5 linked regions of the Zea mays genome follow. The protein of the gene in region 1 binds, or shares a complex with, the protein of each later gene. Links are inferred from orthologs where the notes say so. Each region holds a gene or a part of one and is shown in the gene's direction. Other genes may lie near its edges.

The links.
Region 2: 30S ribosomal protein S10, chloroplastic (region 1) and rps11 share a complex: the UniProt entries of both Arabidopsis thaliana proteins name them as parts of the 30S ribosomal subunit. The link is inferred for Zea mays from reciprocal best matches to the Arabidopsis thaliana genes AT3G13120 and rps11.
Region 3: 30S ribosomal protein S10, chloroplastic (region 1) and 30S ribosomal protein S31, chloroplastic-like share a complex: the UniProt entries of both Arabidopsis thaliana proteins name them as parts of the 30S ribosomal subunit. The link is inferred for Zea mays from reciprocal best matches to the Arabidopsis thaliana genes AT3G13120 and PSRP4.
Region 4: 30S ribosomal protein S10, chloroplastic (region 1) and 30S ribosomal protein S6, chloroplastic-like share a complex: the UniProt entries of both Arabidopsis thaliana proteins name them as parts of the 30S ribosomal subunit. The link is inferred for Zea mays from reciprocal best matches to the Arabidopsis thaliana genes AT3G13120 and AT1G64510.
Region 5: 30S ribosomal protein S10, chloroplastic (region 1) and rps4 share a complex: the UniProt entries of both Arabidopsis thaliana proteins name them as parts of the 30S ribosomal subunit. The link is inferred for Zea mays from reciprocal best matches to the Arabidopsis thaliana genes AT3G13120 and rps4.

The regions. Positions count from the first base shown.
Region 1 is NC_050096.1:24,107,545-24,114,515, forward strand, and holds the start of 30S ribosomal protein S10, chloroplastic, read left to right. Parts: upstream 1-3,068; 5' UTR 3,069-3,186; coding exon 3,187-3,372; intron 3,373-3,556; coding exon 3,557-3,613; intron 3,614-3,619; exon of another isoform or gene 3,620-6,669; intron 6,670-6,675; coding exon 6,676-6,971.
Region 2 is NC_001666.2:75,574-80,754, reverse strand, and holds rps11 (ribosomal protein S11), read left to right. Parts: upstream 1-3,071; coding exon 3,072-3,503; downstream 3,504-5,181. Other genes in the region: rpl16 (ribosomal protein L16), read left to right, coding at 835-1,236; rpl14 (ribosomal protein L14), read left to right, coding at 1,346-1,717; rps8 (ribosomal protein S8), read left to right, coding at 1,857-2,267; infA (translation initiation factor 1), read left to right, coding at 2,347-2,670; rpl36 (ribosomal protein L36), read left to right, coding at 2,771-2,884; rpoA (RNA polymerase alpha subunit), read left to right, coding at 3,566-4,585; petD (cytochrome b6/f complex subunit IV), read right to left, coding at 4,803-5,181.
Region 3 is NC_050098.1:170,388,798-170,395,520, reverse strand, and holds 30S ribosomal protein S31, chloroplastic-like, read left to right. Parts: upstream 1-3,104; 5' UTR 3,105-3,162; coding exon 3,163-3,358; intron 3,359-4,575; coding exon 4,576-4,640; intron 4,641-4,722; coding exon 4,723-4,854; 3' UTR 4,855-5,067; downstream 5,068-6,723. Other genes in the region: putative RING zinc finger domain superfamily protein, read left to right, coding at 106-328, 1,605-1,815; fructose-bisphosphate aldolase, cytoplasmic isozyme, read right to left, coding at 5,736-6,723.
Region 4 is NC_050096.1:303,986,376-303,992,672, forward strand, and holds 30S ribosomal protein S6, chloroplastic-like, read left to right. Parts: upstream 1-2,661; 5' UTR 2,662-2,776; coding exon 2,777-3,199; intron 3,200-3,846; coding exon 3,847-4,092; 3' UTR 4,093-4,216; downstream 4,217-6,297. UniProt on the Arabidopsis thaliana protein: Binds together with bS18 to 16S ribosomal RNA.
Region 5 is NC_001666.2:45,243-50,347, reverse strand, and holds rps4 (ribosomal protein S4), read left to right. Parts: upstream 1-2,585; coding exon 2,586-3,191; downstream 3,192-5,105. Other genes in the region: photosystem I assembly protein Ycf3, read left to right, coding at 4,156-4,279, 5,016-5,105. UniProt on the Arabidopsis thaliana protein: One of the primary rRNA binding proteins, it binds directly to 16S rRNA where it nucleates assembly of the body of the 30S subunit. With S5 and S12 plays an important role in translational accuracy.

The DNA.
Region 1 (6,971 bases):
GGACAGCGGAGGCAATCTGGTGAACCAGATGAGTGCTGGGCCCTCTAGGGCGATGATGAAAGACTTCGCCATTGTGGCGTGGTCCCCTCCGGCGGATGCAACGGCGACTTGATAACTTATTATGTATTGCGCCGGATCGGTGCTGCCGTTGTACTTGGGATATGCCCCTGCTCGGAAGTTAGCTGGCCAAGGCGTCACTTGGAGGTGTGGCGCCAGGGGACTTCGCTCGTCGAGGTAGTTGACCCCTTGGAATGGCGCGCCGTGCTGGAAGGCGTAGTCATGCTGGGGGAAACGCGGGTTCTCCGGCTGCGCCCGGTGTTGCAGGGGTGGGCCATGCTGCAGGCCGAGGTGGCCTTAGCGCGTGTCTTCCGGTTGCGCGCGCTGCTGGAGGGGTGGCTCTTGCTGTAGACCGAGGTGGCCTTCGCGCTGCATCAGCGCGATCTCGCGCTCGAGGTCTTGGGCCTTCTGCTCCTCGTCGCGTATCATTTGCCGCACCTTGGCTAGTGCGGACACACGCTGGCGCTTGGCTTCGAGTATCTCTTTCTGCCTCTGGAGATTGCGGTTCTTGAGGCGCAGGGCGCACAACTGTAACTGTTCTTCTGTTGAGACGCCGAGGACCTCGCCGTCCTCGGTGAGATCCGCGCCCTCCAGTGGGGCGAAGCCTGGGGGCGGCTGCGATTGTCCTTCGGGCCCGCAGGTGCGGAAGGTGTCGTCTTCGCAGGTGTGGGAAATGTTGTCTTCGCAGGTGCGGGGAATGTTGTCTTCAGTGGGCTCTTGGTGGGTGGATTGGGTGAGGGCGAGGGCCTTGCCCTTTCTCGCGGCCAGCAGTGCTGCCTTCGCAGCCTCGTCAGCCTTCGGGTTAGCTCTCTTGGGTGCCATCGCGGGTGGTCTTGTCGTAGCACGAACGGTGGGCGCCAAATGTTGGAACTTGCTCTCAGTAGCAAGGAGGCCAACAAGGGTGAACGGTGGTGACAACAGGGTTACGTGCTCGGGGGCAAATGGCTCTGTTAATCTAGCCTCTCACGGGCACTGTGCGGGGGTATTTATAGGTATCTGAGTGCCCAGCGCCTTGTGTTAAGGACGCATGTGCCCTCGGACACCTAGTTTATCCCCAGAATATTCCCATAAAGCAGGGTTACAAGCTGTACTTACAAGAATGCCTTTACAAACTAGGCCCGTAACACAAAGGCGGCCACGCGAGGCCCGTTACAATGGGCCAGATCACACGTGGGCCTTAGAGCAGGACGAAGCCGTGCTGCGGGGAGACGTCACCGCAGGCCTTCGTCTGGTGCTGAATGAAGCGAAGGGTGTCCCTGCCCGTTTTGTCTTCGTCAAACCAGCGACTGCAGCGAAAGGCGACGAGCGAAGGGTGGCGTCTTTGCCTTCGCCCCAACACACCCCCCATCGATTTTTCCTCGGAATGGAATCATGAAAAATTCCAACGAAAACATTTATGGCCTGTTTCGATGACTATGTATTCACCTTTATCCATATTTATTAGAGTATATGTGTGCTGGACATGATGTTGTGATTCCCATTAACATTGATGGAAGAAAAAAAATCTAGTTACCTCACTATACGCAGACTGACGTTGTAGCTAATACTTATTAGGGTATCTTTAACCCCGTTGGGAATACCTGAATTCACCCCAAACGATTTTAAAGATGCTTTGTTGCCAGCCAATGAACCGAATGATCGTCAGCTCGGTTATGTTCGGTCTTTGTTACGCAAACACTTTGTGTGGAATGTATTTTCATTTAATGCTATATTGGTTGATTAGAACTGAGTCATCTTCTCTCTGCTACATAGCCAACAAATCTATTTGCTAACAATCTTCCTCAGAAAAAAATAGCAGGAAAGGAAAGAACTTTAAAAGTACCTGGCAAATATCTGAAACTTGGTATACTATTCATGTCACACTAATTTTATCAATCACAACCAATTCACCTTCTGTCTTCTATGTGAACAGGAAATCTCTACACCTAGCAATCTTCCTCAAAAGAGATAGGAAAATGCATCAAAATGCTTGGCGAATCTCTGAAACTGAGTCAACCACTTAACAGCAACTCAATAGCTATTCATATGCCCCGATTTTTGCAGCTTGCTCTAGGTGAATAAATTTGCTCAGGTGTCAGATGATCTGAACTTACTGTAGCATTATGCAGAAAACCAATCTCCGTTTTTGAAATATTGTATGTCGACTCTTAAGGAACTTGCAGCTCATATTGGTGAGGTGGTTGTTAATAAGTGCTTATCTGCTGCTGCTAAATCTGGCATGTTTGTCAGCTTGAGGACAAGCGCAAAACTCTGGCAGAGATCTGTAAGGTTACTGCTCTCACAGAAGTCACCAAATTCCCCTTTCTCAACCTCTCCTAAATCTGATCGGGACAAGACGAACGTTCATGGATTCAACCTTAATGAGGCATCACGTGCTATGAATTCTGATAGAACAGTCATCACAGCGAAACCAACTTTTGGTGATCGATTGTCGAACAAATCAAATACAGTTCCATCTCCCAGCACCAGCAGGCAGCTTAACCAGGGGGGGGGGGGGGGGGGGGGGGGGGGGGGGGGGGGGGGGCTGCTACTGCAACCGTTCCATCATATTCAAGGCTTCGTGGGCAGCAGTCGGGCTTAGATCTTGTAGCTGCTCTCAAGGGGATTGGGAAAAAGGAGTGCTGGGGATTGTGGTGATGGCCGGGATAAAGAAGGGAAGTGAATAGCTGGTGCTCTGTAGATGTATGTCTGTAGTAGAGTTAGTTTGGCCACCTCTATGGCTCATCATTCTGTATTTCTTTTGCCTCGTGCCAGGAGCTGTGAATGTAGCTTCTCCTATTTGAGCGCTGGTATGGACAGTCTATCCAGGCAAGAAGAAGGTAACTGATTGTTCCTTGAAACGATCAAGTTTATGCCAGCCAGATCGACACTTTTAGCTGAGGTCACAGTAATATCCAATTCCACGATCTTCCTTTCCGAACAAATCATTCATGATCTTCTTCGAAAGTAATGCTAGAGGAGACAGAACTCGCCCATGTTTGCCACCAGACACCTCGCTTTGAAAGTAACAAAGCTGGAGGGGCTCGAGCGCAAATGCCCCTGGAACCGGATAACACACCGCGATAGCGAAGCAGAGGTCTTCCAAAACCCAACGCGGCAAACGGCTTCCTCACCCCCCCTCCCCTCGCCATGGCCGTCCCCACCTCCACCTCCTCCCCGCTCCCCCTCCTCTTCCTCCATCGCTGCACCGCAAACTCTAGCCCCTCGGTTCTCTCCTTCCCGTCCTCCCTCCGCGGCGCGTCCCTCCGCTCCCGGGCCGCGGCCGCACCGCCCGCAGAGACCCTCTCTGACGACGGCATCCCCGACGCGCCACCGGTACGTGACTGAACTGATATTGCCGTGTCTTTTCGCACACGCAGAGTCCAAAACCTGCGAATTTCATGATGGCGTGTACCGCTTGGTTATGGGGGTTACAATTACATGGCGACATTGGTTCAGTTGGCACACTCGTTAGACCTTGTTCATTCGGTGACTAAAATTGTTAACCTCGCGCTTTCAGGAAGGGGCAGGAACGGGAATTCCGTTGCCATCGTCGATTGGGGATGATGGGGAGCAGGTACCTTCCATAGCAGTTAAAAATTTCCCAGATTATTATGTTACCGAATCTTTTGTTCTGATATTGTTGCTTCCTTGATCGAATGAACTGTGAAAAGTTATAACCATAAACCATACAACATGTTTCTCTTTTATTGCTGCATAGCAGTGCACATTTTACTTGTGATTGTTTAATCACAATAAATGGAGAGCACGATGTGCTCTGGGTATTTGTGTAAATGGCATTTAGAAATCGTTCAGGACGCAATGCAATGATGCTAGACAATATCAGTCAGCACATTCGTTTAAGCCGTTAATCTTAGTGTAAACTGTTCTTAACGTGAGTGTGACTTGGACTTCAAAAATGTATGTTTTTGTAGAAGTCCATATCACGTTAGACAGTTTAGCATCCTTAATGCTTAAGCCATGCATAGTTACCAGCACATGATTGAAGAGACTATGTGGGAAATTCATTTCGTTTGTCCTTTAAATCATTCCTATCAGACTAGAATGAGGATATCTGAGGGTCTATGGTGGTTTAGCTTTCCAGATTCTACTTAGCAGTTGAAAGCTTGCTGGATCAAACTTTCAAAGTTTTCTGCCTATTAATGCTCTGTTCCTCCTTGGAATTATTTGACGTACTTGAAAAATGGTGGACGGCGTGGGAGAGGGGGAGGGGCAGCATAGGGAGAGGGAGGGAGGGAGCAATAACTCTATTCTTGCTTAGACTGAAATAGTTATTTGCCCCTATATTTAATTATTTATAGTTCCTATAGGACTTGTATCCCAAGCATCATTCTTATAGATTTGTAATCTTGTTTCCTAACAAACCAATCTTCTTTCTTAAACAAACTCTATCATTATTTTCTAAACAAGCTATATTTTATTTATTCCAAGCTTATTGAAGATTACCTTTGAGTTTCCATCTATTCCGGATTCTCCAGTGCGGGAGGGATTCTAGGGGCAGTAGAGGCCGCGGCTCATCAGGGCCTGGTGTTGGGCCTCAGTTGGGCCACTAGGCCCGACATGGTGGCCCATATTTAGGCCTGTGAGGCTGTGACATACTGACTCATGACTGAAGCCTAGTATCATTTGGCCATCGAAAGAAAGCAAAAAAAAAAAAGACAGCAGTTGTCTCAAGCGCTCAGCAACCATGGACCATGAATTCCTTATTGTCTTTACCTCGCTGTAATTGCGCCCACTGTGGTAGTCAGTGTGTTCCCCTGAACAGTTAGCAATATCTAACTGTGTTGTTGTGTTTACAATTTGACAAGTTATGCAATTCCTCTTGCTTGTCTCCCTAGGAACCTCCATGGTACTGTCATTGAACTGTTGGAGTCGAGTTGAGATGCTTCCTTCATTCTAAAATATATAATGTCAATGTGTGTGCTCAGCCTTTTAAACTTGTATAAACTTATTTACTTTTCTCACATGGAAATGGTCAAATTGTAAACAGGACAAAGGTGTGTTTTGAAGATCCATGTCCAAAATGGCTATTAAGTAGTAAAATTAAATAGAGCTAACACTGTATAATCTGTCATTGAGGCTACTCCTTGTAGTTTTATGTTTACTTTGCTTCATGCTTCTGCAGTTCTGCTTGTTAAGCATGTCCATCGTAAATATTTGTCTGCAGTTGTTGTATGGAAGTGCTGAAAACGAAATTTTTACAAGGCCTTGTGCACAGTTGGGATCCTCCCATAGTGATTCTTATTTTCTTTAGATGTATCACAAGAGGAAATGGTGATAATAAACAGATACGGAGAGATACTTGTTGGTGTTTTGCATGAAGCTGGATCTAAGGGCCTTGTAGTGTTGTGTCACAGATTTAGATCATCAAAGGAAGGTAGAATTATGTTAAGTCTCGCTGATGCATTAACATCAGAAAATGTCAGCATATGTGTTTTGATTATTCTGGTAATGGAGAAAGCGAAGGTACTTTTGGATAAGGTTACTATAACGAAGTGGACGTTTTATGTGATGCGATCCTGCATTTCAAAAACACAAACGTGACACCCATGCTATTGCTGGCCACAGTAAAGGAGAAAATGTGGTTATCCTCTATACATCCATGTATCACGAATTCACGGTATATCTAAAGCTATTAACCTTTCTGGAAGGTTTAAGCTGGAACGTAGAATTGGAGATCATTCCGTAAATGATTACATGGAAAGGATTAATCAGCATGGTTTCATTGATGTGGAAGACAAAATAGGAGTATCATCTACCGTGTGACCAGACAAAGTCTGATGGATGGTCTTAAGACAGGCACTCTGCAATCTGCATGCATGTCTATTGACCAAACTGCAGGGTGCTGACAGTACATGGTGCTAATGACGATGTTGTGCCGTCAGAGGATGCTCTAGCGTTTGATAAGTATATAAGCAACCATGAATGGCATATTATCGAAAGAGCTGATCATAGATGTGCAACTCATCAGCTTGAATTAGCTGCAACCGTACTGAAAATTTATTAAACTGGATGAGGGTAGGCAGAAACAAACGCAGCCATGTGACATACCCTTTTTGCCCCAATATTTTTGATATATTAATTTTAGTGAAGAACTGTTTTATTGAACATTTATGTTTTTCATAATATTACAATATTTGGCCTGCATCACATCAGCTTGAATTAGCTGCAATTGTACTGAAATTTACTAAATCTGGATGATGGTAGGTGGAAACAAACATAGCCACGACATAGCCTATTTTGCTGGAGGACTGTTTTATTGAGCATGTTTATTTTCCAGAACATTACAATATCCCTCCTCTCCGCCCAACACACACGCAATATATATAGTGCAAAAGCATGCGCTTGCCTTCACAAATTGACCTTAATTGACTTGATAACATCAAGGTGTCTTGATTCCTAGCAACTACATGTTTGTCGTACAGGTAATTGAAGTGTTGTACAGGTAATTGAAGTGTTATAAGGTTTATTTTGCCTTTTGGAAACATATTTAAACATTATATGACCCTTACCCTAAATCAAACACATGCTTTTATTTCTTCACTGTTCAGTTTGCATGCAGAAGTTGCTATCTTTCAACGACTAATAACACTTTTTATGAATGTTATCTGTTCTCAGCTTGCACCCAAGCAGAAGATCAGAATCAAGCTGCGGTCCTACTGGGTGCCGTTGATAGAGGACTCGTGCAAGAAGATAATCGAAGCTGCCAAAACAACCAACGCAAAGACCATGGGTCCCGTTCCTCTGCCCACTAAGAGGAGAGTCTATTGTGTGCTTAACTCTCCTCACGTGCACAAGGACTCACGGTTCCATTTCGAGATCCGGACGCATCAGCGGCTGATTGATATCATGTATCCAACTGCCCAAACAATTGATTCGTTGATGCAACTCCAGCTCCCTGCCGGTGTGGATGT
Region 2 (5,181 bases), on another chromosome or scaffold:
TTCTAGGCTATGAAGCAAAACTAAAGGGTAGTGGATAAAAGGAGGGATGATAGATAGAAGGAAGAAGAATAAGAAAGATATAGGATTCCCATATGTATGGTCTATGAATTCATCATAAAAAAAAGGCAATGTGATAAAGCATCAATATAATAAAATTCTCAAAAAAAAGAGAGAATTCATCGTAACTTGACTTTTGAAACAACAAATAAAAATATAAAGCAATAAATAAAGAGCAGCCGGGTTAATAAAACTGAGAAAATTGACTCGGAAAAAAAAATTGGAAGCTCCATTGCAGGATTCAAACCTAACCATTAAAGGAGAAGCTGTGGGAACGACAAAACCTATGACTACATAGGATTTATTGAAAGAATCCTAACACTTCATTGGTGGATGGCGGACAAACCACAAAATTGCTTTATTTGATAAGGTTCTAAATTAACAAATAAGACAGGAAAGAGTAAATATTCGCCCGCGAAATCCTTATTGGATTAGAATACTTTACCACGATTCAATAAGAATAAAAAAAAAGGAGATTCCAAAAAAGGAAGGATTACATTTTATATAAATATTGAATTTGGATATATTCTAGATCTTCTTTCTTGACTATATATTTAATTTTTCTTTTTTAAGTTTAAGAAAGTCAAAATCAAAAAAACCTAACTTTTTCTATTATATATTGATGTGTATCTATCTATAATATTTTTGAATATTATGGAATTAGAGAAATGACATTCGCACGCTTCTCATTTCATTCGCGAGGAGCTGGATGAGAAGAAACTCTCATGTCCAGTTTTGTAGTAGAGATGGAACTAAGAAGGAACCATCGACTATAACCCCAAAAGAACTAGATTTCGTAAACAACATAGAGGAAGAATGAAGGGAAAATCCTGCCGAGGCAATCATATTTGTTTTGGTAGATATGCTCTTCAAGTACTTGAACCCGCTTGGATCACCGCGAGACAGATAGAAGCAGGACGAAGAGCAATGACACGATATGCACGTCGTGGTGGAAAAATATGGGTGCGTATATTTCCCGACAAACCGGTTACAATAAGACCCACAGAAACACGTATGGGCTCGGGAAAGGGATCCCCCGAATATTGGGTAGCCGTTGTTAAACCAGGTCGAATACTTTATGAAATGAGCGGAGTATCCGAAACTGTAGCTAGAGCAGCTATCTCTATAGCTGCCAGTAAAATGCCCATACGAAGTCAATTTCTTCGATTAGAGATATAGAACCCCAAAAAGGAATATTGAAGATAAAAAACCCCTGGTTTTTCTTTCTGGAAAGACAATATTTCTTTCATCCTTTTGCATTGAAATAACAAATGGAAATCCAAATAATATGATTCAACCTCAGACCCTTTTAAATGTAGCAGATAACAGTGGAGCTCGAAAATTGATGTGTATTCGAGTCATAGGAGCCGCTGGTAATCAGCGATATGCTCGTATTGGTGATGTTATTATTGCTGTAATCAAAGACGCAGTGCCCCAAATGCCTCTAGAAAGATCCGAAGTAATTCGAGCTGTAATTGTACGTACACGTAAAGAATTCAAAGGCGACGACGGTATAATAATACGCTATGATGACAATGCAGCAGTTATCATTGATCAAAAAGGAAATCCAAAAGGAACTCGAGTTTTTGGCGCGGTTGCCGAAGAATTAAGAGAATTGAATTTGACTAAAATAGTTTCATTAGCTCCTGAAGTATTATAAATACTAGTAGACGAGATATAGATCAAAGAAAAAATTAGTAGATTTTGTCTCACGTATATGCTTTAAAATCCTAAATTTAAAGAAAAGGGAAAACATGTTGATTATAGAAAAATTAGGAGGAACCTAGAATTAGAGTCTTATGGGCAAGGACACTATTGCTGATTTACTAACCTCTATAAGAAACGCAGACATGAATAAAAAAGGAACTGTTCGAGTAGTATCCACAAATATTACCGAAAACATTGTTAAAATACTTCTACGAGAGGGTTTTATTGAAAGTGTTCGGAAACATCAGGAAAGTAACAGATATTTCTTGGTTTCAACTTTGCGACATCAAAGGAGAAAGACTAGAAAGGGAATATATAGAACTAGAACCTTTTTAAAGCGTATCAGCCGACCTGGCTTACGAATTTATGCCAACTATCAAGGAATTCCTAAGGTTTTGGGCGGAATGGGAATTGCTATTCTTTCTACTTCTCGAGGTATAATGACAGATCGAGAAGCTCGACTAAACAGAATTGGGGGAGAAGTTTTATGTTATATATGGTAATGGCCCCACCTATAGTACCCAAATTCTATCTCGAACTTCCTATTTTGAAAATAAAAATAGAAAAATAGGAGAAAAATATATGACAGAAAAAAAAAATAGTAGAGAAAAAAAAAACCCGAGAGAAGCAAAAGTCACTTTCGAAGGTTTAGTTACGGAAGCCCTACCCAACGGAATGTTCCGCGTTCGCCTAGAGAATGACACCATCATCCTGGGCTATATTTCAGGAAAGATCCGGTCTAGTTCTATACGAATACTGATGGGGGATAGGGTCAAAATTGAAATAAGTCGTTATGATTCCAGCAAAGGTCGTATAATTTATAGACTTCCCCATAAGGATTCGAAGCGTACCGAAGACTCGAAGGATACTGAAGATTTGAAGGATACCAAAGATTCAAAGGATTAGGTTTTTCTGGGGTAATAACTTCCAAGTTTCAAAATTTAAGTGAAGAGACTTATTTTTTCCAAAAGAATAGATTCATAGTTTAAGAAAGGAATACCCATATATGAAAATAAGAGCTTCCGTTCGTAAAATTTGTACAAAATGTCGACTGATTCGCAGGCGTGGGCGAATTAGAGTTATTTGTTCCAATCCGAAGCATAAACAAAGACAGGGGTAATCTTTCGAAAAAGAAGCTTTTCTTTCTAATAGCTTTTCTTTCTAATTAAAGTAAAAAGTACCCACGGAAATGCCCAAATTGCAAATAAAAAAAATGAAAGTAAAGGATATATTTTAACCTGAAACGGATATCTTTGTATCTTTTTTCTTTTTGTTATTTCTAACTCATATTTATGAGATAATAAAATATGACAAAAGCTATACCAAAAATAGGTTCACGTAAGAAAGTGCGTATTGGTTTGCGTAGGAATGCCCGTTTTAGTTTACGGAAGAGTGCACGTAGAATAACAAAAGGGATTATTCATGTTCAAGCTAGTTTCAACAATACCATTATAACCGTTACAGACCCACAAGGTCGGGTCGTTTTCTGGTCCTCCGCAGGTACTTGTGGATTCAAAAGCTCAAGAAAAGCATCACCCTATGCTGGTCAAAGAACAGCAGTAGATGCTATTCGTACAGTGGGTTTGCAACGAGCAGAAGTTATGGTAAAAGGTGCTGGTAGCGGAAGAGATGCCGCATTACGAGCCATTGCTAAAAGTGGTGTACGGTTAAGTTGTATACGCGATGTAACACCTATGCCGCATAATGGATGTCGACCTCCTAAAAAAAGACGTCTGTAAAAAAAAATGAAACCGCTTTCAAGAGAAATAAACGATTCAATGATCAAATAATATAGTCTGTTATGGTTCGAGAAGAGATAACAGGATCCACTCAAACACTAGAGTGGAAGTGTGTTGAATCAAGAGTAGATAGTAAACGTCTTTATTATGGTCGTTTCATTCTGTCTCCGCTTAGAAAAGGTCAAGCGGATACTGTCGGTATTGCCTTGCGAAGAGCTTTACTTGGAGAAATAGAAGGAACATGTATCACACGCGCCAAATTTGGGAACGTGCCACATGAATATTCCACAATAGTAGGTATTGAAGAATCCATACAAGAAATTTTACTAAATTTGAAAGAAATTGTATTGAGAAGTAATCTCTATGGAGTTAGAGACGCATCAATTTGCGTCAAAGGTCCTAGATACATAACCGCTCAAGATATAATCTTACCGCCTTCCGTAGAAATCGTTGATACGACACAACCTATAGCTAACTTGAGAGAACCCGTTGATTTCTGTATTGAGTTACAGATCAAGAGAGATCGCGCATATCATACGGAACTCAGAAAGAACTCTCAAGATGGAAGTTATCCTATAGATGCTGTATTCATGCCTGTTCGAAATGTGAATTATAGTATTTTTTCTTGTGGGAATGGAAATGAAAAACACGAGATACTTTTTTTAGAAATATGGACGAATGGAAGTTTAACTCCTAAAGAAGCGCTTTATGAAGCTTCTCGTAATTTGATTGATTTATTTCTTCCTTTTCTACACACAGAGGAAGAGGGCACTAGTTTCGAAGAAAATAAAAACAGGTTAACTCCACCCCTTTTAACCTTTCAAAAAAGATTCACTAATCTAAAGAAAAACAAAAAAGGAATTCCATTGAATTGTATTTTTATTGATCAATTAGAATTGCCTTCTAGAACGTATAATTGTCTCAAAAGGGCCAATATACATACACTATTGGACCTTTTGAGTAAGACTGAAGAAGATCTTATGCAAATTAATAGTTTTCGTATGGAAGATGGAAAACTGATATGGGACACTCTAGAGAAGCATCTCCCAATTGATTTACCTAAGAACAAGTTCTCGCTTTAAATCATTGCAATTTTTTCCTCTTCTTCTTTTTTGAGTTAGAATAAAAAGAAAAAAGAAAGCAATTTGGCATCTTTGGCATAATCTATATTTTCGCGAAATGGATCATAATAAAATAGATTTTAGGTATCTAGGGAAGATTCACTTGGAAGTAACTATTTCCTAGATACCCATGCAGGGGACTTCGCGGTGGAATGAATCAACTCGAAAAATCCCTAAACTAAAAAAGACCTAAAGTTAAGGATTTATCAATGGGTAATGTTGCTCCAATACCTAACCAAAGAGCTACTGCAGTACCGATTAAAAAAACGGTCGTAGCTACTGGGCGACGAAATGGATTTTGGAATTTATTGACATTCTCTAGAAAGGGTACTGTCAATAAGCCCGTTGGCACAGAAACCATTAAGAGAACGCCCAATAACTTATTGGGTACTGTACGGAGTATTTGAAATACGGGAAAGAAGTACCACTCGGGTAATATTTCCAAAGGAGTTGCAAACGGATCCGCCGGTTCACCAATCATTGACGGCTCTAGAACCGCTAAACCTACATTACACGCAATAGTACCTAGAATTACTACTGGAAAAATGTATAAAAGA
Region 3 (6,723 bases), on another chromosome or scaffold:
GTGATTAAGAAGCTTTTTTTTTCTGTTCAAGATTTTTTTTTGTTGATGCTGCTGCTGCTGCTGCAGCAGTGGTTTAATATAGTTTTGGGACCCCATGGAATGCAGCTATCATATACCCTTTCTTGCAACAACTGGAGGACAACTTGATGGACAAGGACTGCAAGGACAAAGGGTGGTCTGCTGCTGCCGCCGCCGGCGGCGGCGGCGGTCGGAAGCTTGTTGCCGAAGATGACAGGGAGGATGAGTGTGGCATTTGCCTGGAGACCTGCACCAAGATGGTCCTTCCGAATTGCAACCATGCCATGTGCATCAACTGTTACCGAGACTGGTATTGCTCCCTGTCGCTCTTGCTTATCCGTTTGGGGGGTGTATTATTTAAGCAACAATATATCTGACTGAGCCTGGATCGTTATCAGTTAGGGCCCCGATATCACACGCCACCATTAAAAAAATTCGCTAGCGGTTTGAACAGACTCAATGTGATGTCGATTTTAAAGATAAGGTTCGAGGAAACGAGTAAGCATTGACGCAGTCTTGAACTCTTGATAGCGCAAGGGTGGTTCAGTAATGATTTTCTTAAACTTCTCTGTGGGCTACTTCTACTCACTCATTGTTGGTGGGGAGTGGGGAGGGGGTGGTTGAACAACCCATCATAGTCCCAATGCACTTCTTTTTTCATGTTCACCATTTAAAGCCTCCATTTAGTCAAATTCAGATGCTACATTCTCCTGAACTGAATGTTTGTGTTTGTGTGTGTGTGTGTGGGGGGGGGGGGGGGGGGGGGGGAGGGGGGTTCCATTTTAATCTTCGCTCCCCTCATGTGCGGAGTTTCTTCTATTTGTTTTTTACCACCATGATGGCATGGGAGTCCATGTGTTTCTTGTTCTATATTTTTCAGCCTTCTGTTTGTCAAAACTAGGAGGGATTTTATGTGATCTAATGACCATGTGCCATGTCAGGAGATTCATTATCTTCATTCCTCCAGCAGTCCAGCTGAATGCCAGAGATTTGCTGGACAAAGTTTATGATACTTTGCGCCGTTGTTAAAAAGCCCCCACGTTTCGTCAACAATTAGCAATGGTCCATTAACGGAATCGAAAGCAGACAACTGGGAGTGCTGTTGTAGCTTTAATGAAGTCGTTAAACCATTATTCACCAGTGCCAGCCAACTGCTAAGTTACAGACAAAAAAATAATAAAGGGATAAAAGGGGAGACACTCGTTGACGTGGCATTCTAAATCCTAAATGATTGTATTCTCTTAGCTGGCGGATCATGCTTGTGTACCAAGGATGTCATCTGCAAGTCATTGTGTTTTGATACATGTCAGGTTGTTGGTTTCAATGATACTCATCAATCGGCTGCATCACTCCAAGTTTGGCGAAGTCAATAGTAGCTTTCACAATAATGTTGCTTGAGTTAGATTAGATTACGGATAAACTCAATGGGATTGGTTATTGCAGTAGATTCTTTTGGTGACCACTGGGCCCATCTATTGTTGTAGCGATAAGAGGGATCATCCCCAACTGTTTTAATGACCCCATCCTGTACTGTTCCAAGCAACACCAATGCTGAACGCTGTAACCTGGATGTTCCGTGACTGCAGGTACACAAGGTCCCAGTCATGCCCGTTCTGCCGCGGGAGCCTGAAGAGGGTCCGGTCCAGAGACCTGTGGGTGCTCACCGGCGACGACGACGTGATCGACACGGTGACGCTGGAGAAGGAGAACGTGAAGCACTTCCTCAGCTTCATCGACAGCCTGCCCCTGATCGTCCCCGACAACATGCTGCTGGTCTACTACGACTACCTAGTCTAGCAAGGCTCCTCCCCCCACCCCCCACTCTGAAGCTCTGGAAGAGGAAGGGGGTCTGGGAAGAAGACGCGGCGTACAAGCGACAAGGGTTACCCGCAGCCGACCATCCTCTGCGGATCGAGTTGGCAAAGCGAAGCCGTTGCCGACCAACAGACGATACTCTCGTGGGCATGCCACGCCGTTGCGCTGGCTTTATTGCATGGTGGCGTTGCTCGCTGTAATGGTTGTAAATAAAGAAGGAAAATGTCTCGGGTTTTATATATAATATACTAGCTTGACATTTCTCGTCTGGCGAATTGCCGGACTGTTCAGAATGAAGAAATCAGGGGGCCTCTACTTCTCTGCTCTATATATATCGTCTTCAATTCTCGTGGCCACCTGCACCATTCATAATCGTGAGCGTTGTTGAGGATTCATCCGTTCCTCTCCTTCTAGAGGTTCCAGAAGAAAGAAGACACATGTGGTCAGGTCATGCCATCGAACCGTCTCCACTCCGTGCAAGGCACTTTGCTTGAGGCGTTCTCCCACCACTACATTTTGGCCATCGGTTTTTTATTCATGATTGGGCACTGAAACTGAAACTCTGCTCGGTTGACATGAACCTGATAGCGACCGTTCAATCTGTGCTGTACAGTAGTGCACAGGTGAGTGCCTGACAGTGACCTTGGCAACTCCTCCATTCGGTATTTCGGTTGCTGAAATGAATTGGAATCGCTCCAGCCACACGCTCCCAAATACTACTAACTCCAGCTCCAGGACCGAAAATTGCCTGCACGGGGGTGGGGGACAGCTCGGGGCCGCTCCTTGACGCTCACCCTACCCTCAGGGTTTGTTGATGCACAAGCCATGAGCTCATCCAGTCCGGAAAGCTGGCACCTTGCACGGGTGGTGCCGTGAGGCCGGCCACCATGGGTTCAAGTGTCTGCCTCCACCAGTCCACCGCCGAAATCGAGATTCGAGAAGGACCAGAACCCTAACTCAGCAGGAGAAGCACGGGCCGGAGAACGACGCTGGAGCATCTAGGGTTTTGTTTTCTGTTAGCATGAATCAAAGCTAAGCTTTGGTCATCTTAATTATATTAATTATCAAAAAAAAGAAAGAGAAAGAAAAGGATCCAAGACCTGACCAGACTCGACGACGGCCTGGCTAGGTGTGTGCACCATACTTTACAGTAATGGCCGATAAGGTTACTTCTGGCCCAGCCCACACCAGCCCTGCAGCCCATCTTAGATGTGCGCTGTGGCTCCAACTGCGAGCCCTTTTATCCCTTATCCAACCTGATCCACCACACCACCATTCCCGAGCACACTAGTCTCTCTTCCCTGCGCTTGCTCGCTCCTTCTTGCCCCCATGGCGCTGCTCGCCGTCCAGGGCATGGCCATGTCCACCGCCGCCGCGGCCCTCCCATCTCACAACCACGGCGCCGTCTCATCCTACGTCTCCACCTCCTCCTACGCGCTCGCAGCCTCCGCCGCCTTCCCCCGCGCCCGGGCTGCGTTCGCCGTCGGCGCCGTCTTGTCGGCCACCGTCACTCCAGTTCTTGACGGTAATTAAACAGCTACCTCCTCACTCCCCTTGTTTTTGTCCGATGTAGGAGTAGTTTCTTTCTAACACATGTCACGAGCAATGGCTACTGTTTTCCACGCAATAAGGGAGAAAAGGCAATGACTACTATTACACTGACACTTGGGAAATTCGTTCCAATTCAATCGGGATTTTTCTTCTTTTTATGAAATAGTCAAGGGATTTATTACTGAAATGTACTCCCCAGAAGAGATGGAGGTTGTGATGCTGTTAGTCGATCTGGGTCAACTAGACTGACCAAGGAAAGCATCCAGTTTTTAACAAACTGGTTCATGAAAATTGTGGTGGTTCCAAATATACTAGCTTTTGTCCCAGTCTATAGAAGTTGGATTCTCAGTTTCTTAAAAACCAAGAAGCTAATCCCATCTAGCTAAAGGCAGTTTATAGAAATTGAGGTGGTTCTAAAAACTATTAACCAGTTTTTTTATAAATCACTTTATAGAAACTGAAGTTAGAAACTAGATTCTTAAAAACTAGGTTGCTTCCAAACATGGCCTAAGGGTCTGTTTGGAAGCACCTAGTTTTTTTTATAGAAATTGACGTGGTTCCAAACTAATTTATAGAAATTGGATTCCTAGTTTCTTAAAAAACCAAGAAGCTAGTCTTCTCTAGCTAAAATCAATTTATAAAAATTAAGGTGATTCTAAACACCATTAACCTTTTTTTTTATAAACTAGTTTCTAGAAACTGGATTCTTAAGAGCTTAAGTTGTTCCACACGAAAAAATTACGGTATCGAGGAGCAGGAGCATATATATGAACTGAAAACTACTACTGTAGTAGATTATTAAACCTTTACCGGTTGACTGATTCACTTCACACGGTGTCAGGAGTGAGTGCCAATCAAGGAAGCTGAATCTCTTGTTTATCACTACCGCCTATAGTTTTGGTCGTCTCTGTTGCCACTGGCCTCAGCTGTTGTAAACACTTGTTTCTGGTTTATTAATACAGAGAGTCAAAGATGGATGCTTCTCATGCGTGTACTTCAAAGAAGTTTTAGTTAATCATAATTTGAAATCAATTTCTGAAATTCTAGTGTCCATAGCCTGCTTCAGGATTTTATTCTCTGATTGTACTACGAACCCAACTGGGGTGCTGTCCCTTTTGGCCTCTGTTTATATCAATACTGATGATCCTGTGGACTGACAGACAGTTTTAAACTTTATCTGGTCTTGCTCAGTCTACTGCGGGAGAGGGGACAAGAAAACGAAAAGGGGCAAAAGGTTCAACCATTCATATGGCAATGTGAGTGCTCCAGCACAATTTACATCGCATTTTTGGTTTTTTCCCCCTGTTCTGTTTTATTTAGCTGTCTGATCATGTCTAGGCGAGGCCGCGCAACAAGAAGAAGGGAACTGGGCCTGCGCGGCTCTTTGCCCCTCCTGCTCCTCCAAGGAAGGATCAGTTCGATGATGGGGAGATCATTTCAATCGAGATTGACGAGGACATCCTGGAATAGGTTGTCCGAGTTCTGCCTTGCTTTATATTTGCCCTGAGCTTAATTGGCCTAGTTTGTACCAAATCAAATACTACATATTTTAAGTAATTATTTCCTCGCCTATAATTATCGATGGGTAGGCTGCCACACTTTCATTTGGCTAGTAATGTTCCTACTACTGACTGGGTTCTTTATTTTCCTTTCCAGCTGCTGAGTTCTTTACTCTCTTCAAAATGAAACTGTGTCGAAATAAGTTTTTTTTAGAAGATATTAAATGATTCATCTAGTGGTAACGGAGAGATTACACGTTTCATTTGTAAGGGGATTAATAAGATTTAATCTCTTTCAATCCTCTTCTAACCGAACAATCCAGCCCTAACAGGTAAAACAAAATCCAACTAGCGATTTATTCATACGTCAGCAATGTGCAAAGATCTTGCGTGCTGAACTAATGATCGTGTTGTGTTATTAATATGTGTTGCAATGATGTAAGTTTTGTTTCAAACTTCAGCTAACACTTTCAGGTCTCTTGCTATGCCAATCTCTCACGAGTGTCTCAGCAAAATATGATCCAAACAAGTTGCTGTCTCCAACTCAGCATATATGAATTTTTGCCGACTCCAACTCAGCATATAGAATTGTTTTTGCCGATACATAGCCAGAATTACAGCATAGTTGATAGAACAAAAAAAGGGAGCTGCTCGATTCTCCATCGGCAGGACCAACTTACACGAAATTTAACAGCAAAGAGACTAATTAACATACAAATATAAAGATAACCATCATCCCACATAGGAAGCATGTTTTTTGGATGTCCGAAAATAAGCTCTAACGAGCAAACCACACTCCGCAACCTAGCTCGTAGGCAGGAGTTCCAAAACGGGCACGCAAAGAGAAGCAACTCAGTACTTGTAGTCCTTGACGTGGAGGCTCTCGGTGTCGGCGGCAGCATCACCCTTGTAGGTGCCGAGGGTAGCCTCAGAGTTGGCCTTGCACCTGGCGAGGAAGGCAGCTCTAGCCTTCTCCAGGTTCTCCACCTTGCCAGCCCAGGCCTTGAGGGTGCTCGCCTGGAGGGCACGGCCGAAGGAGAAAGACAGGGACCACGGCTTCTTGGTGCTGAGCTTGTTCATGGCATTGAGGTTGCGGGTGGCCTCCTCCTCGCTCTGTCCACCAGAGAGGAAGACAACAGCAGGCACAGCAGCAGGGACGGTCCTCTGGAGGGTACGGACGGTGTACTCAGCAATCACCTCAGGGGTCACCTTCTTGGAGTCGGAGCCTGGAGTCACCATGTTGGGCTTCAGGAGGGTACCCTCCAGGAGGACATGGTGCTCGTTGAGCGCCTTGTAGCAGGCAGCAAGGACGGTCTCAGTGACGTAAGCGCAGCGATCAATGTCATGAGGGCCATCAACAAGGATCTCAGGCTCAACAATTGGCACCAGACCATTCTCCTGGCAGATGATGGCATAGCGAGCCAGACCCTGAGCGTTCAGGTCGATGGCAAGCTGTGATGGCTCATTAGGGCCAATCTTGAGAACAGCGCGCCACTTGGCAAAGCGGGCACCTGCCTCGTAGTACTTGGCGCAACGCTTGCCAAGGTCGTCATGGCCTTGGGTGGTGGTCTCCTTATCAGTGCCAACAACCTCAATGGTGCCCTTGTCAACCTTGATGCCAGGGAGGACGCCTCCCTCCTTGAGGACATCAACAAAAGGCTTGCCATCCTTGGTCTTCTGGTACAGGGTCTCCTCGAAGAGGATCACACCGCTGATGTACTGGAGAGCACCAGGGCAGCAGAATAGGAGCTCACGGAGGGCACGGCGGTTCTCCTCAACGTTCTCGACATTGATGCTGGAAAGGCGCTTGCCAATGGTGCCAGTGGACTCATCAGCAGCA
Region 4 (6,297 bases), about 280 Mb from region 1:
TCCGGTGGTGCACCGGACAGTGTCCGGTGCGCCAGGCTGACTCGGCGTGAAGAGGTCGCTCTCGGGAATTCACCGACGGCGTACGGCTAAAATTCACCGGACTGTCCGGTGTGCACCGGACTGTCCGGTGAGCCAACGGTCGGCAGCGGAATCTGCGCGCGACACGTGGCCGGGCCAACGGTCGGAAGGGGGCACCGGACTGTCCGGTGTGCACCGGACATGTCCGGTGCGCCAACGGCTCCCAGATCCGCAACGGTCGGCTGCGCCATTTTAGGAAGGAGATCGGGCACCGGACAGTATCCGGTGTGCACCGGACTGTCCGGTGCACCCGACGACAGAAGGCAAGATTGGCCTTCCAGATTTGCTCTCAACGGCTCCTAGCTGCCTTGGGGCTATAAAAGGGACCCCTAGGCGCATGGAGGAGACATCCAAGCAACCTTAGAGCATTCTTGATCATCCACACTCAGTCTTTGCACATTCGTTTGTCATTCTCAGTGATTCGAGCTCCGTTCTAGTGAGAACTTTGAGATAGTCTTTTGAGCTCGATTCTTGACCGTGTGTTGCGCATCTTGCTGTGGATTTGTGTGTGTTGCTTCCCTCCCTTACTCTGTGCTTCTTTGTGAAATTCAATTGTAAGGGCGAGAGACTCCAAGTTGTGGAGATTCCTCACAAACGGGAAAAGATTAAAGTAAAGAAGAACACCGTGGTATTCAAGTTGATCATTGGATCACTTGAGAGGAGTTGAGTGCAACTCTCGTCCGTTGGGACGCCACAACGTGGAGTAGGCAAGTTTTGTACTTGGCCGAACCACGGGATAACCACCGTGTCATCTCTGTGATTGATTTCTTGTGGTTATTGTGTTTTGACTCCTCTCTAGCCACTTGGCAATTATTGTACTAACGATTAACCAAGTTTTTGTGGCTTAAGTTTTCAAGTTTCACAGGATCACCTATTCACCCCCCTCTAGGTGCTCTCATCAGCATAATCCAAAGATTGACCTAAACAACCAAACGGGGTGGGGTGGCCAGTCGGTCAAGGAGTGTGCATCACTAGTCTAGAAGCTCGCGCTGCCAGCCAACGAGGGCACACACTATTGACCTCACGGTCATGGTCCGACCAGCGATGGTGCGGGCACGAGTAGACAACGAGGGAGGGGCTCGCCATGGGAGGAGATGTCATGGTGAAGAAAGCGACGCTAGAAGAGAGAAGATGTGTGACGGGAGAAGAAGAGAGGTGGAAAAATTAGAAAGAATTGGACTGTAATCGATGGTAGTGGTCGATAACTTTTCTCAACTCTATCAAACTTATGTTGTTGGAGCTTCCATTGAGAAGCTTCACCAAGAGAGTGGATCTAGCCTTTAGATCCCCCATTTTGGTAAATATAAATTTAGTGGATCTAGATCGTTTGACAAAGTTTTTCAAAAATTTAAATTATTTTTAGTGAATCTCAAATAAACTCATACTGTTGTTTCATTTGATATGGCTCCTTTTAGAAGGGCTCTAGCTCCTTATTTTATTGTCAGTAGAGTACCTTCTATGAAGCTGAAGTTTTTGTAAGTAAAAAAATGGGCTATTTAAATTTGTACCCTTAGTTTTGCTTCATTCCTTATTTTTAACCTTGGTCGTGTTTTTTCTTAGTTTTGCCCTACTACTCTATAACACTAGAAGGACAAAACTAAGTAAAAAAACACGACTAAGGGTAAAAATGAGAACACCAGCAAAACTTGGAGCAAAAGCTTAAAAAATCCAAAAATAAAAGCCATATTTCAGCATCGTGTCTCTTTTATAAAAAATGACTTTGACTTTTTGAGCTCTACAAGGAGTTGTTTTCGGCTATTGGCCCCTTTAAGAAGTCGTGAGAAAGTAGAGTCGAAGTCCTGTCAAATTGACCTACAATAGAATGTCTTCAGACCTTCACACAAAGTTTTTCGGTGTTCAAATTCACTAGATCTTTTATCTTGGTCCTGTTTGTTTCGGATTCTAGCAGCTTCTGGCCACCAAAAGCTGCTGCGGATTGCCAAACGCTCAGCTTTTCAGCCAGCTTCTATAAAATTCGTTGGGACAAAAACCATCCAAAATCAATATAAACACATAATCGGTTAAGTCGTTGTAATAGTATGAATTCATCACTTTCTAGATCCTGAGTCCTATGAACAACTTTATTTTCCTCCACACGTAATCGTAATGATACTCAGATTCTCCCCACAGCCAGATTCTCCTTACAGCCAGATTTTCAGAAAAGCTGGTCAGAAAAAAACTGAACCAAACAGGCCCCTTATATCTCGTATACAGAGAAGATTAGGTCTACTCTATATTTAGTCAATTCAACTGTTCGAGATTTTTTTAAAAAAATATAGGTCCGCTGTTGATATTGTATTTTAGCTGCCTAAATCTTTGGACAGCAAACTTAGATAATCAATTAGTATAATTAAAAGAATAATTTATACTTTTTCTATGGGTAAATAAAGGAAAACATACATGCTGCGTATATGACAACAAAAGAATCATACACATAAAACATAGAAGAAATGCATAACTACATATAGTTGAAATACACACAAAGTTAACGTTGTAAACAATTTTGGTTTAACTGGCAACCCGGCCGTTTTTCCACCAATATGAAAATCCGTGCAAACTCCAAACAGGGCGTGGCGTCCTATCCTTATCTATCGAGTGGACGCGACGCCAACAGCGTCAGCGCCTCCTCCCGCTCTCCGGCTCCTGTCCTGCTCGCGCTCGTCGCCCCCCTGCCGCTCGGCTCCCCTTGGCCCCTCCAATGCCGCCACCCATGGCACTGCTGCCGCTCTCCTCCGCATCCGCGTCCGCCGCGCTGCCGCCCTTCCGCTCCTGCCCGCCCGCTGCGATGCTGCTTCGCCTCCCCTCCCCCGCCCCCTCCCATTTCGCCCGCCCCCGCGCGGTCTCCACTGGGTACGCGGCGTCCTTCTACGGCGGCTCGGCGATGTCCGCGGCCGGCGGCGCGGACGAGGAGGAGGAGGTCGGCTACGAGTCGGGGTTCGGCCCGGGGCTAGGGCTGGGCGGCGGCGGCCTCGGGATGTCGGCCGCGGAAGCCGCGCTGGCGCTGGAGGAGCGCGAGATGCCGCCCTGCCCACCCGGCCTCCGCCAGTACGAGACCATGGTCGTGCTCCGCCCCGACATGTCCGAGGAGGAGCGCCTCGCCTTCATCCAGCGCTACGAGGAGGTAATTTGCGTTTGCCTCCGCTCCGTTTGGCTGCCACTATAGCTAACTGGATGGATGGAGCAGCGTAACACGGGCACGGCTCGATCGGCTCACCTCTGCCTCTTGCATATCTCGCTACCATTTGCTGTTCCGATGGCAGAGAGAGCAGACAGATGATAATTTCTGGACAGGCTGGTATCATACTTGAGCAATGCGAGACGAATGTTAAAAGGGTTCCGAGTGTTTCGAATTTCATCCAATAAATATTAGGATTTCTAAACGTATAAAAGTGGATCCGCCATAGTTAATTGCCATCCTATCCTGAATTCACCATGTATGTTAGGCACTGTTTCTGTTAGAAACTCACTCTAGTCTAGAGCTAATCAGTTTGTTCACATTGAAGTCAGATGCTGCGGCGGTAATATATAGAGACAAGAAACCGTTTCGGATTAAAGACAGGTGAACAGCTTGAATATATAGCAGTAGAGGTTTGAACACCCCCTACCTAATAACTCAGCTAATTTGTGAGTTAACAATCAGTCCATTAGCTGGTTTAACCTAGCTAACAATTTGTTAGTTCCAAACGGGCCCTTAATCGCTGTTATCAGTCACATGCCATCTGCGTACCATTCCAATCCAGCTCAGCTTGGTGTTTTCCTGTGCTGCAGCTGCTCGTCGCCGGCGGCGCCATGTACGTGGAGGTCTTCAACCGCGGTGTCATCCCGCTGGCATACAGCATCAGGAAGAGGAACAGCCGCACCGGGCTGCCGTCCACCTACTACGACGGCATCTACCTCCTCATCACCTACTTCACCAAGCCGGAGTCCATGGACGCCCTGCAGCTTAAGCTCAACGCCGACGACGACGTCATCCGCTCCACCAGCTTCAAGGTCCGCCAGCGGAAGGCCGTCTAGTTAGACGGGTTGCCTCCTCCGCCTTCAGGCCCTGAACACTGTTTTGTTCACATACCATACTACAAGAAATCTGCTGTACAAGAATCCACCTTTGCCATGATTGTTGAGTTTTTTTTTTTTGAATATGTTTCTTGTCTTGTGGTTCTCGAAAATGGACGTCCGGCCATCGTTCGCCAGAGAAACACCGCGCCTCCTAAAACCATCATGTTTCATCAGGTACCAAAAATAAAGGTCCGTAGCTAGGTAGCGTCGAGCCTGAGCGCGCTCCGGGGATGGAGAACAGTCCAAACCCATCGTAAATCTGCAACAGTACAAGCATATACAGTGCAATTTGTGGAAGAGATTCGTACAAGTACAACTTTCATTTGATTTCAGAGGCGTTTAAATACTCCACACTTCATTCCCATTTAGCGTCAAGTGCGTTGGTGTTTCCAAATATTCATTTGATGAAAGAGATGTTCTCGGCATATAACTAAACAGTACGACACTAGGACATGACATGATGCAGAACGCAGATTGGCTTTCGGATTTCTCGAGCAGGAACAGGAAACTTCGGAAGATAAGACACAAAGCACAACACAAACCAGAACAGACGCCAGCAATCCAAAATCTGTCAGCCATGGAGTAACATTTAGTATCTCTCATGGCGCCTGAAATCATAAACAAATACCTGGGTCAGTCAACGATGTGAGGCACAAGGGTTTCAAATAAAAAAGTGTGCCTATTATTCAGCAATACCTGCTGCGCTCCCTGGAGCGTGAACGCTCTCTTCTCCTTGAGTCATATCCGCGGGAGCGGTCATAATCCCTATCCCGGTCGCGGTCATGGCGACGGTCCCTATCGTGACGCCTATCGCGTTCCCTATCATAATCTCTTCTTCCATCTCGAGACTCAACCCTGTCTCTCCTTTCTGAATCTCTATCCCTGGACGGCGGGCCGTTTCGATCCTTGCTCTGCTCTCTAGATCTAAAAGAGCCAAATGGGCATGCTTTCAGATAAGATGACCATGATGCTGATTGCTGACTAAAACAATGAGGATGCGGAATACAGAATACCATACCGCCTATCATCTTCAGTTTTGCCTGTCCTCCTTTTGTTTCTCTGCTCCTGCAAGATGCCACAGTGTATTTTGTTTATTGACAGTACAGATAATGATATTTTGGCATATTTAAAATCAGAGACAACGTTCCAAAAGATAGGGCGGGCGATACTTTACAGGCAAGGTTGCTTCAGCAAAATGTAACTTGCAAACTTATGGAGGAGGTAGCAGATAGAAAACAGAACAAGTTGTCACTTACAGCAAAATGTTGGCAAAAGAAGTGTGCTTTCAGGATAACTTAACCAGTATTATTTGTCACCTGGTCTACATAATATGGCTCAGGCAGTAAAAAGGCAACCTCCAGCTTCTGCCCAACAATCGATACTAAGCAGACACATGAGCAGTTTGTCACAATTAAGTAAACATGATTTTTTTCATACCATGGTCCGCACGCTCCTATGCTTACATTTGTCAACAGACAGTGACTGTTGTAGCCATAGGTATGAAGATCATCGCATGAGATTCCAATCACGCGACATGGACTAATTCCTGTAATGACTATCGTAATAACCATAGTGCCCGGCAATGTGAGAATCAAATAATATATAGAGGGAAGGTGAGAACCTTGAGGCTCTTGAGATAAGAAAACTCACAGATGCCAAAAGGCCCAAAACAGAGTAACTCTTTAAAGCAGAAAACGGTACATTACACTCAGCACCTGATAAATTGCACCTTTATAGATTTAGATTGAGGATAAGTGAATAAACCAAGATTATCGTATTCTGATGATGGCCAAACAGAATGTAAATTTTGTTTTATTTGTCTTTAAGGTTTGGAAACCTTGGAAGTATTAATCTGTTTCATAAATCTCCAGTGTTTAACTTCTACTTTGGGCATAGGCATGCAGGAATTTACCTGAAGTTCTTTCTGTTTGTCACGAATCAGCATGTAGCCTAGATGCAGTTTCCCTCCAAAATGGTCAGCAAGACGTCGATCACTGTTGAGATATTTTCAGCTTAGGATCAACAACAACAAAGCCTTTTATCCTAATCAAGTTGGGGTAGGCTAGGGATAAAAGCCCGATGGAACCCACAAGTCAAGGTTGATTTATCAAGGTGCAATTTTTAAACCCAATAAAAACCCAATATTTTCAGCTTAGGATAAAT
Region 5 (5,105 bases), on another chromosome or scaffold:
AAATCACATATTTGTTTCCTTCGTATGAACAGAAAAATACAATGACTCAAAGAAGTTCCTACCACGAACTTTGTACCGCGCATATTACTTAGAACAACTGGGAAAGTAGGATAAGCAAGAATAAAAAAAAATATATTCTTCGGAATAGCGGTATACAAAATTAATAAGAAATGCAAAATGAAGAAAAGGGCACCTAATCTCACCTCTTTCTATACCATAAAGAACCAGAGATTTAAACCCTTTTTTTTAAAAGAAAAAGAAGTGTGTAGAGATTTATCTACTTACTCTAGAGATTTATCTACTTACTCTAGACTAAAGACTAAGTAGATTTTTAATAAATATTTACCCCAATCCATCTCAAAATATTTGTATCAATATCTATTCAGTAGATCCTTTTTTTCTGTGCCAGGAACCAGATTTGAACTGGTGACACGAGGATTTTCAGTCCTCTGCTCTACCAACTGAGCTATCCTGACCCTTTCTTGTGCATCATCTTAGTAAAGTATTTGCATCTATGTCAATTAAAGGGACTAAAAAATCAATAAAGTATTCCATTCAAAATTAGGAAATGGGAGGGGTTAGTCCTATGCATTGTGGATGGCTTACTTAATAATACTTAAAAAAAACGAATTAATAATCGAGATTCCTTGCCGATACTCTACTCTAATAAATAAAAAAGAAATAAAAAAGAAATCATCTATTTAATGAATAGCATAAGATTCATTGAGTTCTTGTCGCACTCCTTTGTGAAAGAGTAGAATGAGAAAGCTAGTGAATCTTAAACCCATTGATAAAAGAAAAAAAGGATAACAACTATGGTTAGGGAATAAAAGAGGGTTTGGGGATAGAGGGACTTGAACCCTCACGACTTATAAAGTCGACGGATTTTCCTTTTACTAGAAATTTCATTGTTGTCAGTATTGACATGTAGAATGGGACTCTCTCTTTATCCTCGTCCGATTAATCCACTTTTTAAAATTAAAAGATCTCGAAAACAATGAATTGAAGGATTTGATTACTCAATATTTGATTGGAATAGATTCACAATAATTCTAAAAAAAAATTATGAATTTTCTATTTCATAATCATTCCTAATTTCATTCTAAAAATAAAATAAAGAACCTATATTATAATATGGGTTCTGTGATTAATCGTTATTACTTCGATTCGTTAGAACAGCTTCCATTGAGTCTCTGCACCTATCCTTTTCCTTTGGGTTCTAGTTTGAGAACCACTTGTTTTTCAAAAAAGGGATTTGGCTCAGGATTGCCCATTTTTCATTCCAGGGTTTCTCTGAATTTGGAAGTTACCACTTAGCAGGTTTCCATACCAAGGCTCAATACAATCAAGTCCGTAGCGTCTACCGATTTCGCCATATCCCCATTTTACTTTTCTTTGAAACCAGGATTCCTTGTATAATTTAATCCATCTCTTAGTTTTTTTTGAATCATTGAATTCATTATTCGACGTAGTCTAGCAACTCATCTCTATTTGAGACACCCCGCTCGCTTATTGCAATTCAGAATTGCATTGATTTTATCGTTGATATATTTGCAATTCAATCGGAATGAATATATCCAAAAGTTTTTCTCTCTCCCGCCTCCCTCCTTCCTTTTTTAGAGTATTCCAAATCATACTATAACGCTTGATATTCATTCTTTTTTTCTAAACTGAATTAGAAATTTCATTTGCTATGATTCTATCTTCTCCTTAGTGAACTATTTATCCTTAAATTATTAACAAATAAAAAAACAAAATATCTCAAAAATGTATATAATGATCAAATGAAAATGCCAATCTCTTGGCATTTTCTCTTTATTATATTATTCATATATATTCTTCTTTTTCTTCTTTTCTATGTATTAGATTATTCCTCCGAGCCATATCAAATTGAAAATATCTGAAATCAAATTCAATATAGAATTTGGAATAGATTCTATTAAAAAAATCCATTTGCGAATTAGAGAAATAAAAAGAAAGTTCAATAAATTCTATAATCCTATTTAAGAATATCATTTAGTTAAGCATATCAAGCTAACTTTATCTTTATGAAATTCTAGTATTTTTTTTTTTCTATCTAAGTGGAACTTCCAATTTAGAACTAGTTAATAACTAAGATTAATAATTAAGATCTGACATTTTACAGATTCCCTATATATATATTTTTATTTGTTACACTATTTCTGTTATGTAAGCCCACTTAGCTCAGAGGTTAGAGCATCGCATTTGTAATGCGAGGGTCATCGGTTCAAATCCGATAGTCGGCTTTTTTTTCTATCGATGTTCTATGAACAAGAATTTCTCTTTTTCTCCGAATAAAATGGGGAATCAGGGTCTATTATGTCGTTTTACCTTACAATTTTGCTAGATACAAAGCATAAAAATAAATAATATATATACAAAAAATCCAGATGTTGATGAAATTCCATTTTTTGTGTTACTCCATTTTTTGTGTTACTTTAGTAGATTTTACTCTGTTTATCCTTTAGTTTAATTCTGTTTGAATTTCGCTGTATTCTGTAATGTAAATAGAACGAAATTTATTGTGTAAAATGAAATTTCAATAAAATAAAAAAGGAGTCTTCATGTCCCGTTATCGAGGGCCTCGTTTAAAAAAAATACGCCGTCTGGGAGCTTTACCAGGACTCACTAGAAAAACGCCTAAATCCGGAAGTAATCAGAAAAAGAAATTCCATTCTGGGAAAAAAGAGCAATATCGTATTCGTCTTCAAGAAAAACAGAAATTGCGTTTTCATTATGGTCTGACAGAACGACAATTACTTAGATATGTACATATCGCTGGAAAAGCAAAAAGATCCACAGGTCAGGTTTTACTACAATTACTTGAAATGCGTTTGGATAATATCCTTTTTCGATTGGGTATGGCTTCAACCATTCCTGGGGCCCGACAATTAGTTAACCATAGACATATTTTAGTTAATGGTCGTATAGTTGATATACCAAGCTTTCGTTGCAAACCCCGAGATATTATTACTACGAAGGATAACCAACGATCAAAACGTTTGGTTCAAAATTATATTGCTTCATCCGATCCGGGCAAATTACCAAAGCATTTGACGGTTGACACATTGCAATATAAAGGACTAGTAAAAAAAATTCTAGATAGGAAGTGGGTCGGTCTCAAAATAAATGAGTTGTTAGTTGTAGAATATTATTCTCGCCAGACTTGAACTTAACGAAAAAAGGAAAGGTTCATAGAATTTTTTTCCCCTTCCCCTTTCCCCGAACTAAATCGACCTAAGGCTCTTAATTCGTATTTTCCCGTTCACCTAGCAGAAATAGATTAACCCTAGGATACTTTTTTCTTTTTTGTTATTTCCTCGATGTGTATTTTACATACCACAGTAATTTGCTATAGAGAATTTCTATTAATTAAAGGTATTATTGTTGGAATAAATTGTTATTTAATTTGATACATTGTGATCGCTAACATTGATGAATTAAGAGAAACGGAAAGAGAGGGATTCGAACCCTCGGTAAACAAAAGTCTACATAGCAGTTCCAATGCTACGCCTTGAACCGCTCGGCCATCTCTCCTACATAATCTTATTATGGAAAATAAACTGAGTGAATAGCGAGTTTTCGTATTCCTGCAGTACAGGTACAGCCACAACGGCTCGGGAATTCCATGGCTCTATTGGATTGGATGGAAAAATTCCTTTTCATCTAAGTGGAAGGATCCTGTATTTTTTTACTAGGAATTCTGCTCCCTCGAAAAGTTTTTCTTTGGGGAAAACCAAAATAAAAAGAGAATGGAAGAATTCTTCTTATTCCATAAGAAAATAAAGGAACCCTAGAATTCCATTTGCATAAGGTACATTACGCCATACAATCTAAATATAAAAGGGGTATGGGGCAATTAATGACTTTGAAAACGCGAAATAGCTGATGAGGGAAGTTGTTGTTGAGAAATAGGAAAGTGGAATGAAATTCCAGTCTTAGTCAAATATTTCATATCTCTTCTTCTCTTCTTGTCCAAACAGAGGAAAAGGAGACAATTTGAGCTGAGCGGAAAATCCATATCTCTCTTATCCATTTAGAGCATATGGATCGATTTATAAGAATCGAATGTTTTGTTTTTATGTTATTTTGTGATAGAATGAAAAGAATTCTATATAGAATGGGTTGGGAATTATGCCTAGATCCCGTATAAATGGAAATTTCATTGATAAGACCTCCTCGATTGTAGCCAATATTTTATTGCAAATAATTCCGACAACCTCCGGGGAAAAAAGGGCATTTACTTATTATAGAGATGGTGCGATTTGACTCTTTTTTTTTTTAGCCCTACCTATATCTCATTCTTACGAGAAAGAGAGAGGGTTCGCATAGAGAGAACAAAATTAGTAAAGGAAACCCGCGCTTGGGGAAGGTGAGGTGAACTAACAATTCCTTCTGTCGTGTATCCTCGATTGATGTGGCCTCAGATGCTTCAATTGTAGATTTGAGTATTGAGCGAAAGGTTACACCTACAGGATAGGTTCTGTATTACAGGGCAATCCGACTCTACTAGTACCAATAGGCAGCATAGGGGAGAAAAGCACTACACCACGAAATAGGAATCAACAAGAGAAAAACTTTGTTAGAAATTAGCCCTTTCCTGATTGGTATCAGGGTTGGGAAGAATGGTTGGGATAACAAACAACCATCAGGTTTGTACTTTGGATACCCTTATAACCATCAAAGGTCGTTGAAGTGGCTAATTCCTCTAAATAGGAGGCGTTGAGAACAAAGAAATTCTTGGAGCTATCGTTTTCCTCTAGCATTAATATAATTCATTGGTGTTAAGAAAAACCTCTTGGGGGAAGGTTGGCTAGAGATTTCTTGGAAAAATACCAGCCCCCTTCGGTCCATAATGAGATGGGACTAATTCGATTTTTATTCTATAGATTTTTCGCTTAGTACTATGTATAGAAGGGAGAAGCCGTATGAGATGAAAACCTCATGTACGGTTTTGGAACGGAGATTTTTTGAATAGAATGAACGACCGTAACGGATGTTGGCTCAATCCGAAGGAAATTATGCGGAAGCTTTGCAGAATTATTATGAAGCTACGCGACTAGAAATTGATCCCTATGATCGAA